Linked DNA regions of Nothobranchius furzeri. The protein of the gene in region 2 purifies or fractionates together with the protein of the main gene of each other region. This does not show direct contact. Links are inferred from orthologs where the notes say so. Each region holds a gene or a part of one and is shown on either strand. Other genes may lie near its edges.

Region 1 (6,359 bases), on a different chromosome or scaffold from region 2:
AAGCTACAAATGTGTTAATTTTTTTCAAATGTGACAATTAAAGCTTTTTATAATTTTAGTATTGAAATCACATCTGAATTTGATTTGAAAATTTTGTCACTTTTCTAACTCGTCATTAGTCAAAAGATCCCGGATAAAAAAGCCTTTTAATCTGAAACATTTTCCATTTAGTCCATAGAGTTTTATTTTAATTTGCTTTATAAAATAACATTTGAAGTTTGTGTTTTAATGTTAATGAAAAGCTTTTGTTTGAGCCTGTTGGGTTTTTGTGGGGAGCTCGTACCACCACATGCAGGCCCAGGAGAGTCCGTTAAAGTTATAAATATTTAGTGTCCACATCTAAATGTCCTTCAGGCACAGAGGGCTTACCTGTCCACTGTCCCTTCCAGGTGTGTGAATGGGATTTAGTGGTCTTCATCCAGGGAAAAGGAAGCTGGTATCTGTTCTGATCTCCCGTGTCTCCATAACCCAGATTCTGGAGCGGGGACAGCTGGAGCCCCTGCGGGTGGTGCAGCTGTGGCACACCTGGATCCTCCCGCATGGGCACACTGTAAGTGGGGGCGATGTCCAGGCTGGCCTGCTCCAGGGCTCCCAAGGCCGGCGGTGTGTAGACGGAGTGCACGGGTCTGCTCATGTAGAGGCAGGGTGGAGGGCTGTAGTCCTCCCCCTGTGGTCTCTGGTAGACACAGGAGTCTTTAAACACCTGAGAGGGGTAGAATTGATCTTCTCGATTCATGGCTGGAGAGGAGCGGAGGTTACAGGGGGGCGTTAGACGCGGACATGCACCCTGTTCCTGCCGCCCTTCCTCGGTGTGGACCTTCGGCTCCACCTGTGGCGCAACTGCAAGGCCCCTGCTCCACACAGGTGTGTCACTCAGACATCATGTGACCCCAAGGCGCCCAATTCATTGGCTCCAGTGTTTGCTCGGAATGACAGCGCCCAGTTTCCATGATATTCTGCAGCTTTTCCCCCTGAGTTGAACAGAGCAGTGCGTAAAATCGGTGCCAAAACGTTCACATACACCAACTCCGAGTGGAACAACAAAAATTTGGATACTTTCTTCACGCAGGACTCTCGTCCACAGACATGGAAGCAATCGACATTTTATGCGAATATGAGTCTTGTAAATCGATACTATGGGTGCAAACATTGGGTTGACCTGCGAGATAAGGCACCCGTTGTCTTGGAAACACACCTTAGTTTCCACAGCCTTTTATTTTAGTCCAGCTCTTTCTGACGTTTAAATCTGTCCATTACACTTTTCTAAATGCATCATTTAACACCATTTTTGCGCGCGCTGCCTCAGACGATAAAAAAAACCTTGGCGACGACAAACACAACTCTGCTGCACTCTCCTCGTGTTTGCTGGCCATTAATCTTTGTGTGTCCTCGCCCCATTTAACAATAGCCCTCTTGGTTAGTCAATTATCATGAAGAGACCAACTGAACTCAATTAACCGCCGTGCGCGTTTGGAGCGCGCGTCTCCACGGCCTTTTACGCACGACTTTCAGACGCATGTTTGTCACGCGGGACGAGCCGGCTTTTATTTTGATAGTCTGCGCAGCTTCGATAGACTATTTGCACTCAGATCTTCAAAAGCAATTATAGCACTTTCCAATGAATCTTAATGGCAGCACTCAACGGTGCAATAAAGTCCAGGTGAGCCATTTCTATGCAAAACACCCCCCTGCAATATGGCCTAATGGCCTTTATATTTGATCATTGTTGTAAAGAGGAAGGAAATTGTTAACCCAGGCTGTTCCATATGTGATTTATGAGGCGTGTTGCCCGTTAAGAAGGGAGGCAATCAGAATCAGACACTTTCGTCCCTGTAAAGTTGTAGAAATAATAAAAGACAGTGGAGTCAGAAAAAATGGAAAGATTTAATGGCCATCTGCCATCTCAAAGTGAGGACAATCACACAAAATCAACAGATTGTTCCTGAAACAAAATAAATGAAATGTTTTTTAGCTTTTTCATTGAGTAACAAACCAGTTTTTGACGGCATGTCAAAAAATGATAAAACATGCTTACTCTGTGGCGACAGCAGCGTGGCCTATGTAAACATCATGACACGTGATGAATAGTAATGGCGTTATAATAGAGATTAGGTCCCCCTCCTGTGACGAACACGGTTACACCTCATCATGAGTCACGAGAGAGACTGTTTGACCTCATTCTGTTGCATTTTATTGGGAAAAAAGAAAATAATCTACCAGTACGTCCAAAGAGACAAAACTCACTCTATTTCTCTGTAAAATGATATTTTAAATAAAGTTTTTCTCTTTTAAACACAAAGCAAACAGCAGCACCTCTCAGTCGGTTATGAGCTCCTGAGACTAAAAACAAAGCCGGTCCATTCATGAAGTCTGAATCCGTCTTTTTTTGTCTCTTTTCTGTCCATCGGCATGTTTCCGGTCTCTGTCGTCTTGGTGTCTGCTGCGTCTGTCCTTATCTCTGTCCGGCCTCTTATCTCGACTTGTGCGGCGGTCCATGTGAGGACGTTTATGATCCGAGGGGCCGCCAGTATTCCTGTGATCAGGCGGAGGCGTTCTGCTGCGGTCACGCTGTCTGTCCGGGGACTCGCTCCGAAGGCGTCCTCTTGTGGAGGAACATTTGGCTTGGGGTTCCTCTGTGCGCCGGTGCAGGCCCGTGGAGCGCAGGGTGTTGAGTAAGAAGCGTTTGTTGGTGCTCTGTAGAGGACACTTCAACCTGGAGAAAAATCCACAAACATCAGACACAGATCCAGAAAAATCCAGCAGTTGATGCCGAAAGAAGAAATTTAATTTCACAGATTCAATCAGACTTCAGCAACATGACTTTTGTGGGTGTTTTATCCCTTTAACTATAGAATAAAGAGGCTAAATAAGAAATTTTCACACATACGATTGAAATGCCCCAAAAAAACCTTTAATGTATATATATGATATAAGACCTCAAATTAAAATACCAACAGATAAGATAACTTTTAGTGCAAAACTAACATTTTTAGGAAGACACGTGGTGTGTTCAGATGGTTTAATGAGAACATGAGCAAAATAATCTAATATTTAAAATAATACTAGACACTAAGTAATTATCCAAAAAGAAAAAAGAAAAGAAAGAAAGCCAATCCACATGAGAGGGTCAGAGATATTTCAGAGCTCACCATCCTGCAGGACCCATGGTCTCTGCTCTCACCCGGGCTCTGTCAGTCTCCCTCAGGAGCTCCTCCACGGCGCGCCTAGACGGAACCGGACCCAGAACCAGGAGAATGAGTCATGAGACAAACAGGACAGAAATTCTGAGCAGATGTACAAGAAATATAAGATGAAAGTAAAGCGGACGTGTCCTTGTTTGACCCGAAATGAGTCTCATCACCAGATTGGACTCGCTACTTATGCCGACCTGAAACTACACACAACAGGCAGCTAGAGTCAACAAGTCAACTTTAAATACAGTAAACAACTCAGATCAGAACTACTAACAGACTGTTTTTCCGCAGCGTTACATTTTAGAGGGAAAATGTCTGCAAATGTGTTCAGACGGAAGTTAATAAAGATACATTTACTCACTTTTCTAGCTCATTTTCTTCCGCCATTGCGTCTTAATCACACAAAAACTCTTACAAATAAATAAAAACCTAATAAAACCTATAAATTTACGTTAATTTACGAGGCATTTCTTGTTCACTTCGCCGAGAGGTCCTTCAATCGCGGACCCTGTTTTTAGCTGCCCGGAGCAATGCCTGTTCAGTTGCAAAATCATGTTGAAAATAAGTTATGAAACCAAACTACATTTTTTATTTACAAGTAGATATGTTTGTGTATTATGTATTGATCTTTTTTAATTAAAATAATTGATATTTTTAAAAGTTCAATAAGTTATGGGGCACCCCTGGAAAAACATTTACAGCTGATTGTTTTAGCAACATTTGGCCACAAATAACTTTAAAACAAACATAGAATCAAACAAATATATAAACACACTTTGTTAAAAAAAAGGATTTATACTCAAATCGAAACGTAAAATGTGACATTTAAACTTGTACATTTTTTATTTGATTAAACATTTTCCATTGGGAACTAAGCCAACTTAATTCTTTGGTAAATTGTAAAAATAATTTAAATACATACAATGGCTTAATCAAAAGTAAAGTGATAGTTACAGAATATCATCAAGCAAGATATTTTAGTAATCTAGATTGTGATACATTAAAGGACAATAACAAACATTTTTATTTAGAAGTAATCTTCTTAAAGAAGACATATTATGCCTTTTGCATCCTTTTTGTGCCGCCATGTGCACTCTGCCTCTATAAACGCTCCAAACATGCCAATGTGTGGTTGTAGAAATGTTGTGCCTAAAACAAGCTATTTGAAATTGTCCCCAATTGTGACATCACAAGCAGGCCCAGTGCCAATACTCGCATTGCGCCCTGCAGTCTTCAGCAAAGTGCACTTGGAGAAAGTGTGCAGTAAGGCTTCGAGTGCGTGGACTACAACTGTGCAAATAATTGCTGAAGTGAGACAGGGAGCATTGCGTCATGAAACGCAACGCATGCCGAGATGCTGGTCCTGTGATACTTTTTCAAAAGCCTTTATTAACAACTTTTAAACAAACAACCCATTATTTGAAATAAATTTTAATTAATTGCTGCTTTGTCTAAAACATTCAGAGCATCAACTGATTGTCCCAAAACTAACTCATTCCATTAGAAAATATTCAGAAAAGGAACTTGAACCCTTTCTCCTGCAGCAATGACTTGTGGGTAATACACTTCACCCAGCACTGTAAGAATACTTTTGAGGCAGATAATTAAGTATATATTTGTTCTGTTTTTTTCTATTCTATTCTATTCTATTCTATTCTATTCTATTCTATTCTATTCTATTCTATTCTAATTTTTGTTCTGATCCTGTTTTTGAACAGGCGGTCGGTGTAAGCCACCTCTAAACTCAGCTCCGTAGACTCCTCCCATCACCTTTTGATTGGCAGCGGTGGGCGGGATCAGCGGCGCCAACGGTACGGGGGCGTTTTCTTGCGGGCTTGCGGAGCTCTCCGTCGGTTGCGGCGAATGCGTGATCGACGCCCCGCAGCTGATAATTGCTCCCCGCTTTGGGGCCCGAGTGGACGGCGCGGAGGAGCCGCCGGAAGAAGGTAAAACATCCATCACATCTGGAGACATCCATCTCCTGCATGAGCTGTGTCAGCGAGCGGGGTTGATGCTGTCGCCTCTTCTGTCCTGTCCTCTCGCGCCTCCGCTTCTGCAGGATGGGATGAAGTCAGACAGCTGGGGAGGGAGGTGAAAGAGGGGTGCGATGATTTTAATAACGATGTTGACTTAACCGGAATATGACACTGCAGTTTATGCAAGGCAATCTGGGACGACGACACCGGGAGGAGGAGAAAATGCTAGATTTAATCAAATCAGTGTCTGTTTTTGTTGTCACCCCTGCACGTCTGCCTGGAGAAAAACAGACAATTGAAACACACCTTGCAGGCCTCTTCTAAATAAATTTAAAAACATGGATGAAGAGATCGGGTCGAACGTAAGATAAACTTGAGTTTTAAAATCTGTGGCCTAAATTATGATGCCATTTCTGTTGGTTATTGCATTTCTGCACGTGCTAAAACCTTAGTTTGTCATTTGTGTGTAGACAAAATTCTGTCATTCGTTAATACAATACAAAGCATGCATGCATTCATACTTCTGCAGAGGACTATTGTCCTGAAAAAGATCAAAGTGCTTTGAGAGTTCTAAAATCCCAAAGATTATTTTCAGGGCCTGCTGGATAAAGCTCGTGTGCTTGTTTGCGTATGCGCGTGCAGGTTTACGCCTGCATGTCTACACGTCTGTGTGTGATGTGGTGATGTCACAGCTTTGTTACAGAAACAGAGAAGCCTTGTGTCCTCATGATTAATTCATGTCCAGCTGCGGGATAGAGACAGAAGCAGCCAGTCACACACAGACAGGAGCATGTGCTTGAAAAGGAGACAGAAATAAGGGGCTACTGGTCCCGTGGCCAAGGAGACGGTAGGGACAGGTTTGTCAGGAGACAATCTGTGCAGATCAAATCAAACGCAAGAATAGAAATGAACCGGAGGGACTTTCATCCTGCTCTGCGCAGTGTGACGAGCTTTCAGCATCTTGCTGGGAGAAGTGCATCTGTTGTTGCGCCTCCTCTGCATCCTTCGCTGGCTACACTCTGAATGTCAAGCCCCACTGAGCAGAACAGGATGCAGGTCGTCATGGAGACAGGAGCAGACCCTTTGCTGGAACAGAGGCAGGTAGTCACTGTGGCTTGGCCACTGAGCAGGGAGGCACGCCCTCTACTGTCCGCTGAAGGCATCGGGCCCTCTGGGGTGTTGGAGGTCT
Region 2 (6,526 bases):
TAATAGGGTTGCAACTAACGACTATTTTAACAGTCGACTAGCCACAGACTACTGAAACGATTAGTCGACTAATCGGATAATTATTACACTTTTCTTAAATTTAGCACGAGACTCGCTGATCTTTGACCGCGGTGGACCAGCAAAGCCTGATATCCTCGGCTTACCTAGTTATAATTTCAATACAAAGCAGGTCGGAGGTGCCTTCATGTTTAAATTGCTCTACCTCGTTTTTCTTGCTAAAAACGCCCAGAAATCTCTGTTAGCTTTGGGTTAGCATGTAGCTAATGACCTGCTGATCTCTGACCGTGGAGAATGAGCTGATCTAAAAGGCCAGGGCTCCTGATCGCAGCGGTTTGGCTCTGCTTGTAGTTTAAAAGTCCCAGTCCATATTAGATCTCCAAAGCCGACCAGCACGACTACAGCCTCACACACAAGTCGGTCGGCTGTGAGAGTGGGCTACCCCACGGTCCCCGGAGCCCTTCTTAACTTCTTGGGTTAGCTAGTAGCCATATTGGTCACAATCCCTGTTGGGAACCTCCCATTTTTGGCTTCAACCTGCTCCCTGGTGGAGCAACAGGTGGGCTATGTTCATATTTTTATATGACGATGATTTCTGTCCATTTAAAATAACAAATAAAAACGTGAAGTTACATTTGGATGGCTGACTTCGTGTATCCTACCATTATTGATAATTTAATGTTCATGAATAATCTGTTTAATTGGTGAGGTCATTAGCAGACATATGAAGAAGTTTTACTTTTTAAAACTCCTAACCCCATTTCACATGTGGGACTATCGGATTCTGTTTCCTTAACAAGAGCAAGACAAAAAGACAAAAGCCTGGGAACTGATGTAACTTCAGTTTTCTGTTTTAAATGTAAATGAAAACAATAACGTGACTTTGACACTGAACCCAGGTGGAAACAGGAACTGATAACATATAAGAAACTAGGGCTGGGCGATATACCGATATTTTTAAAATATCGGTATAATTTTTAAACAAGATATAAGATGACTTTATACCTTTATAACTGGTCAAACTGCTATGCTAGTGACATGTTGCTCCGTCTCTAAGGGGTTATTACATGTATTCTCTCAAGTTTGCTCAATCTGAGAGCCTCTGGGTAAATGTGCTGGTCTAAACTTAGCATGTGGCGTTCTGGTTTTTAATTATTTGGGGACGTTCAACGCCAACGGAGTTCTGTTTTCCGTCCTGCTTGTGTGGAGAGACGAGTCAAACCCCTCCCTCCCCTGTGTAATGAGGAAACATCTACGGAAAGCCGGAGTGGGCAAATTACTTCAAACATATAGTAAGGGTTTGAATAGTAAACTATAGGGTTAACGTTTTATTTTGAAGGCGAGCTCAACGGGTGAGAAATGTTGCTCCGGGTTTTCCGCTGTGGTTTGTTATGCTAATAAATACTCCCGTTACGAGCAATTCTGTTGAAAAAGTTAAGAGTTTGTAAGGCGTGGGTTACGGCGACAGTAGCTCAAATATATTACTCATAAAAGAGCAACCAGAGACTCTGAGTCATTACAGTATAATCGCTGATATGAGTCAACACTGATAGATTCCAGCCATGTTTGCCCTGATAACTAATAACTCTATGGTGCATGACCCATGTGACCTTCAGTAGATGCAATTGCATCATCTACCTGAATCCTCTTGCAAAGGCTTACGTCTCGGCCTGGCCGCTCCGGTCATCACAGGATCGTCGGCTAGCAGTGCCTACACCACGCTCAGGACAATCCAGGCTCTTCTCATGCATCGTTCCACAAATGTGGAATGACCTTCCAAGCACTACCAGAACAGCGGCTTCTTTTTCAATTTTCAAGAAACTCCTGAAGACCCTGCTCTTCAGAGAGCATCTTCTTAACTAGCACCTTTCCTGCACCCGTCCCTCCCTCTAACGTCCACTCCTTTGTTCCCTCCTCTCCATGACTGATGTCAATGTTGTTGTTGTTATTGTTGTTGTTAGCCTCAAGGGCTACATGCCGATTATCACTTGTAAGTCGCTTTGGACAAAAGCGTCTGCTAAATACATAAACATCATCATAAATTTAGCCTAACATGATAGATTTTTGTTATGGACAAGAAATAAACGATATGGGCCACCTCTAGATGAAATCTAAATCATTTTACATTACTAATAAATATATAATAAAAAAGTCCCTGTGGGACATTTGATACACCTCTAGCTCTCAACTGTGTACGTGTGTGAGTGTGTGTGTGTGTGTGTGTGTGTGTGTGTGTGTGTGTGTGTGTGTGTGAGTGTGTGTGTTAGCAGACAGTTGTACCAGTGTTTCTAAAGCTCAGACTGGTTGAGAATAGGCACTAAGGTTAAAGTTGGACAAGAATCAATACATTTTTATGCATTTAATCTACTGATGTATGTTTATAATTTCTCAAGACAGCTTGAAGTGAGTTAACTTGGAAATACTTTACAGGAGGAAAAATATTGAGATATACATCGTATATCGGAATTCAGCTAAAAGATAGAGGAATAAGTTTGGGTCCATATCGCCCAGCCCTAAAACAAACCATCAACTCAGCATCAGCACCTACTCACCTGGTCCGGCCCAGCTGTCCCCTGATCAGCAGAACTCCTGCAGCATCAGCATCGAGCGCGGTCACCTTAAACTCCAGCTCTGTCCCGACTTTAGGACCAGCGTCCCTCCAGGTCTCTATGGACACCAGAGTTGGCCTGGGAATGCTGGCATTGAAACAACTGTGCACGAGGCAGCCAACATGGCTCACTCCCAGTTTATTCACTTTACCCTGTAGAAAACAAACCAACGACAGCAATTGGTGCTACTGAGATGACTTCTGATTAATTCTGTCCATCTTACCAGGAGTTTCTGTCCCCTTTTGGGCTGAAATACAATGAAGCTGGCTTCTATGTCCATGTGGATGTAGCCGCTGTCATTGTAGATGTCCCCATTTCTTCCCAAAATCCTAATGTTGTCATAGGCTAACAGCACTCCATTCAAACTGGAAGACACAAAACCAACAGCTTTAACTGGAACGGGAATACCAGCAGTTTTCCAAGCATACTATGACACAATCCTGACTCCATCTTTGACTTGAGCTCAAATAAACCTCCTGATGTTGAAGATATGTTACGCTGCTGATTCCAGTTGTTTAAAAAAAGATCAAATAGTTCATTTAAAACACAAAGAATACACCTTTAGCTGTCAGCTGACTGCCATAAAATGCAAGCACAGTGATTAAATCAGGCAATCCCGCCTGTGCTCGTCTTTCTACCTCTGGGAAAACTTCAGCAGCTCTCCGTCCAGCTCCTCCTGGATGCCAGTCTTCTTCTTGTTCAAGTACTGCGGCGCCAGAGCGACGTGTCTCCGGTGGGAGTTCAGCACCAGACACGAGTACGGCACCGGCAGGAGCTCCGACGCGGCCGCGAAGGAGGGGACCACGCAGCCCGCATCTCTGTCCGGAGCAGAGGACGGCTTCACCGGGGCGCCAGCAGCGCTCATATTGTTGGACAAGTCCACATGTTTTGGATCCTCCACAGCATGCTCGAAGTTCGCCATGCTGCCAGAGGACCGGAAGACAAACAACCGAGACTGTCGTGTTGAAGTTAGCGACTAAACCTTTATGCTGCCCCCTGCTGGCTCGGAGGTTCACTGGAGCAGCGCTCTTTGGGAGACCGTGAGCTAATAAGTACAAAAGATGTATTATATAGAAGATATTCAATTTTGTGATGATAAATGCAATAATAAGTTTCTAAGATCTTCATTAAGGAATCTTTTTGATCCAAACTTACTTAGACGTAATTACATATTAAAAGATTTCCAAAGGGAAGAAATTGAAAAAATAAGAAGTGATATCACCTTCCCTATCGCTCCTAAAGGGAAAGAAGTCCAATTTTAATTTTTGACCAAAATTTACCCAACCAATAGACTCCTTGGGGATAGATTCAATATAGAAGCTGGTAATTGTGTATTTTGTGAAACAGAAGAGGAGGACTTAGGCCATCTATTTTTTGTGCAATTTTATACAAATATTTTGGTTAGATTTTCATGCCTGGCTTTGTTCTAGTGGGATTCAAATTGCCCCATTTACCTTAAATATGATAATGTTTGGAGTGTTTTTGAAAGAAAAGAAAGTTAGTTATGGTGTTAATGTGTTATTAATTTTGTGTAAACAATTTATACATAAATGTCGATTTTTTAAGACCAAACCAACACTAGCCTATTGGAAAAACAACTTAAAAGTATTAGTTAAATCTTTGAATTTAGTTAAAAAGAAAAAGGCTGGTTTGTTATTTCCTTTGTAGAAGATTTTGAGTTAGTAAGTTAATAACCTGTTAATTATGTGACCCCATCTTTAGATTTTCCTTTTTTTCCATATACATGAAAATGTTGAATATGCATGTAATGATTATCTTTTGAATATATAATGTAAGGTGCATTTTGTTTGTATGTTATCTTCTCTAATAAATAAATAAATAAAGTACAAAAGATGTATTTACGCTGGTGCTCTCCACGTGTTAACAGTGCTATACTTACAGTGTTGCCATGTGTTGGATTCACAAGCTGATCTCTCTGTATTTCATCAATAATGTAAAAGAAAGTAAAACTAAAATAGTGACATTCCTGTTTTGAAACCCAGACTCAACAAAACATATTTTGTTTTTAACTAATCAGATGATGAGATATAAATCTGCTTTATGTGAATGATTGACATATTTTAAATGGATCAGTACATAACAGCTAAGTCAGTCCCTGTCCCTGAGCCCTGCCCAGAGCCTAAGCAGCAATGCCATTTTTTCATAGTGTTCAGCTATTTTGTCATAAATGAACAAATACTTCCAAAAACTACAGAATGTTCTGATTTCAGGTGAGGCATTGTAGCTGACCCACCTGTGAGAGAAAAACTGTAAGGCTTGTCTTCGGCACTCAGACATCAGTTCTGATTGTTTTTCAGCCGGACAGGACACGGCGAAGAACTGTCTCAGAGATCAACGTTTAATCTCCGGACTAAAGTTAAAAAACTATTTAGTCTAACTTTAATTAGAGTCCACAGCAGGTTTAGCACCTTTCAGTTTGGCAGGTTTACATGGTTCAGTGAGGAGTTTTAAATCAAAGTAACTCATCTTTATGTTTAGTTTGTTTAGAGGGTAACAGCATTATTAGAGCTAAATAATAACATAAGCATTATCACTGATCTGATGCACTAAACCCATGCACTCTCATTATATAAGCTTTAGATCATGCACAGATACATCTGGAAAGGGCATTGATTCTGCATCCTCTTCACATTAAAACCATTAGGGTGACCTGGGGTGTCAGCTAGTGTAACACACACACACACACACACACACACACACACACACACACACACACACACACACACACACACACACACACACACACACACACACACACAGTTCTAATGTTACTCTTTTCTGACAGCGCAGCACCACAGGAGGTGCCATGATCAGCTTTCCTCCCTGTATCCCTGATGGGGTCGACTGCAGATCCTGATGCTCTCAGGGGTGCTGTGGCCCCCCTCTCCTGTCCGTTGTCATGGTGATAACCAGTGAAGTGGTTTCCTGAACAGCAAGAGTGCCTAGCAGTTTCTGCTGTGATGGGAAACAGCTAACACACACACACACACACACACACACACACACACACACACACACACACACACACACACACACACACACACACACACACACACACACACACACACACACACACACACTTTCACATGCTGATGGTTGATGTGGACTGTCAGGAGGTGTTGGCAGGTGAAGGGTCTGTTCAAGAACACAATGACAGAGACAGAAAATCAGAGTTCAAACCAGAAACCCACCGGTTACAGGACAAGCCTCCACCTCCTGAGCCACTGTCACCCTGTGCATCTCCTCACCTTGTCTCCAAAGCTGAGGCTAACTACCGTTGAGAGGTAAATGTAGTGCTTTAAGCTTAATATATTACCTTTACTCATGACCAATAAGCTGTGATACTCTACGTAAATATAGAATATCAACCTGCTTGGTCTTTGAGTGTTTAATCAGCAGATTCTAGGATTCTTTGCTTGTTCGGGGATCAAACACACTTCGTCTTACTTCAAGGAGAGGGTCAAGTTTATAAAAAGTAAGCAATTTATTTTCTAAACAATTAAAAACATGACAACTAGGAAACACTTAGGTGATGAATACATCCGAGTGGATGGAATGTGAGGCGTGATGAAGTATGAATGTGATGTTATCAGAACCTTCATATCTGGAGAAGCGAGTTCTGAGTGGAAGTGAATTTGGTTTGCTCTAAACTAATTGATGGTTTCCAAAACCACATCAGACACAATCTTGTGAGTCCACGTACCCGTTCTGGAGACCCCCGATTGGATCCGAGATATCAGGGAGTCTTGTGACCCCAGTGCCTCGAGGTTAGTAGGATAATCGAGAGGCGACCAAGTCAGTCCTGAGATGTCTCCGGGTTGCACAGTTGTTTGCGTCTTAGGAATAACTCTTAAGGAATTGGAGCTGTCTCACCTTGG

What was found. Proteins that work in one complex are often made in the same cells at the same time.
Region 1: the proteins of polr1f (region 2) and si:ch211-140b10.6 purify together in Homo sapiens (affinity purification with mass spectrometry; 3 studies listed by BioGRID and IntAct, counting the BioPlex papers as one, with this or other methods). This does not show direct contact. The link is inferred for Nothobranchius furzeri from reciprocal best matches to the Homo sapiens genes POLR1F and POLR1D.

The regions. Positions count from the first base shown.
Region 1 is NC_091747.1:51,104,877-51,111,235, reverse strand, and holds si:ch211-140b10.6 (protein POLR1D), read right to left. Parts: upstream 3,727-6,359; 5' UTR 3,582-3,726; coding exon 3,556-3,581; intron 3,225-3,555; coding exon 3,150-3,224; intron 2,714-3,149; coding exon 2,362-2,713; 3' UTR 1,866-2,361; downstream 1-1,865. Other genes in the region: pdx1 (pancreas/duodenum homeobox protein 1), read right to left, coding at 370-736.
Region 2 is NC_091751.1:28,040,583-28,047,108, forward strand, and holds the start of polr1f (DNA-directed RNA polymerase I subunit RPA43), read right to left. Parts: upstream 3,595-6,526; 5' UTR 3,550-3,594; coding exon 3,266-3,549; intron 2,993-3,265; coding exon 2,851-2,992; intron 2,780-2,850; coding exon 2,571-2,779; intron 1-2,570. UniProt on the Homo sapiens protein: Component of RNA polymerase I (Pol I), a DNA-dependent RNA polymerase which synthesizes ribosomal RNA precursors using the four ribonucleoside triphosphates as substrates.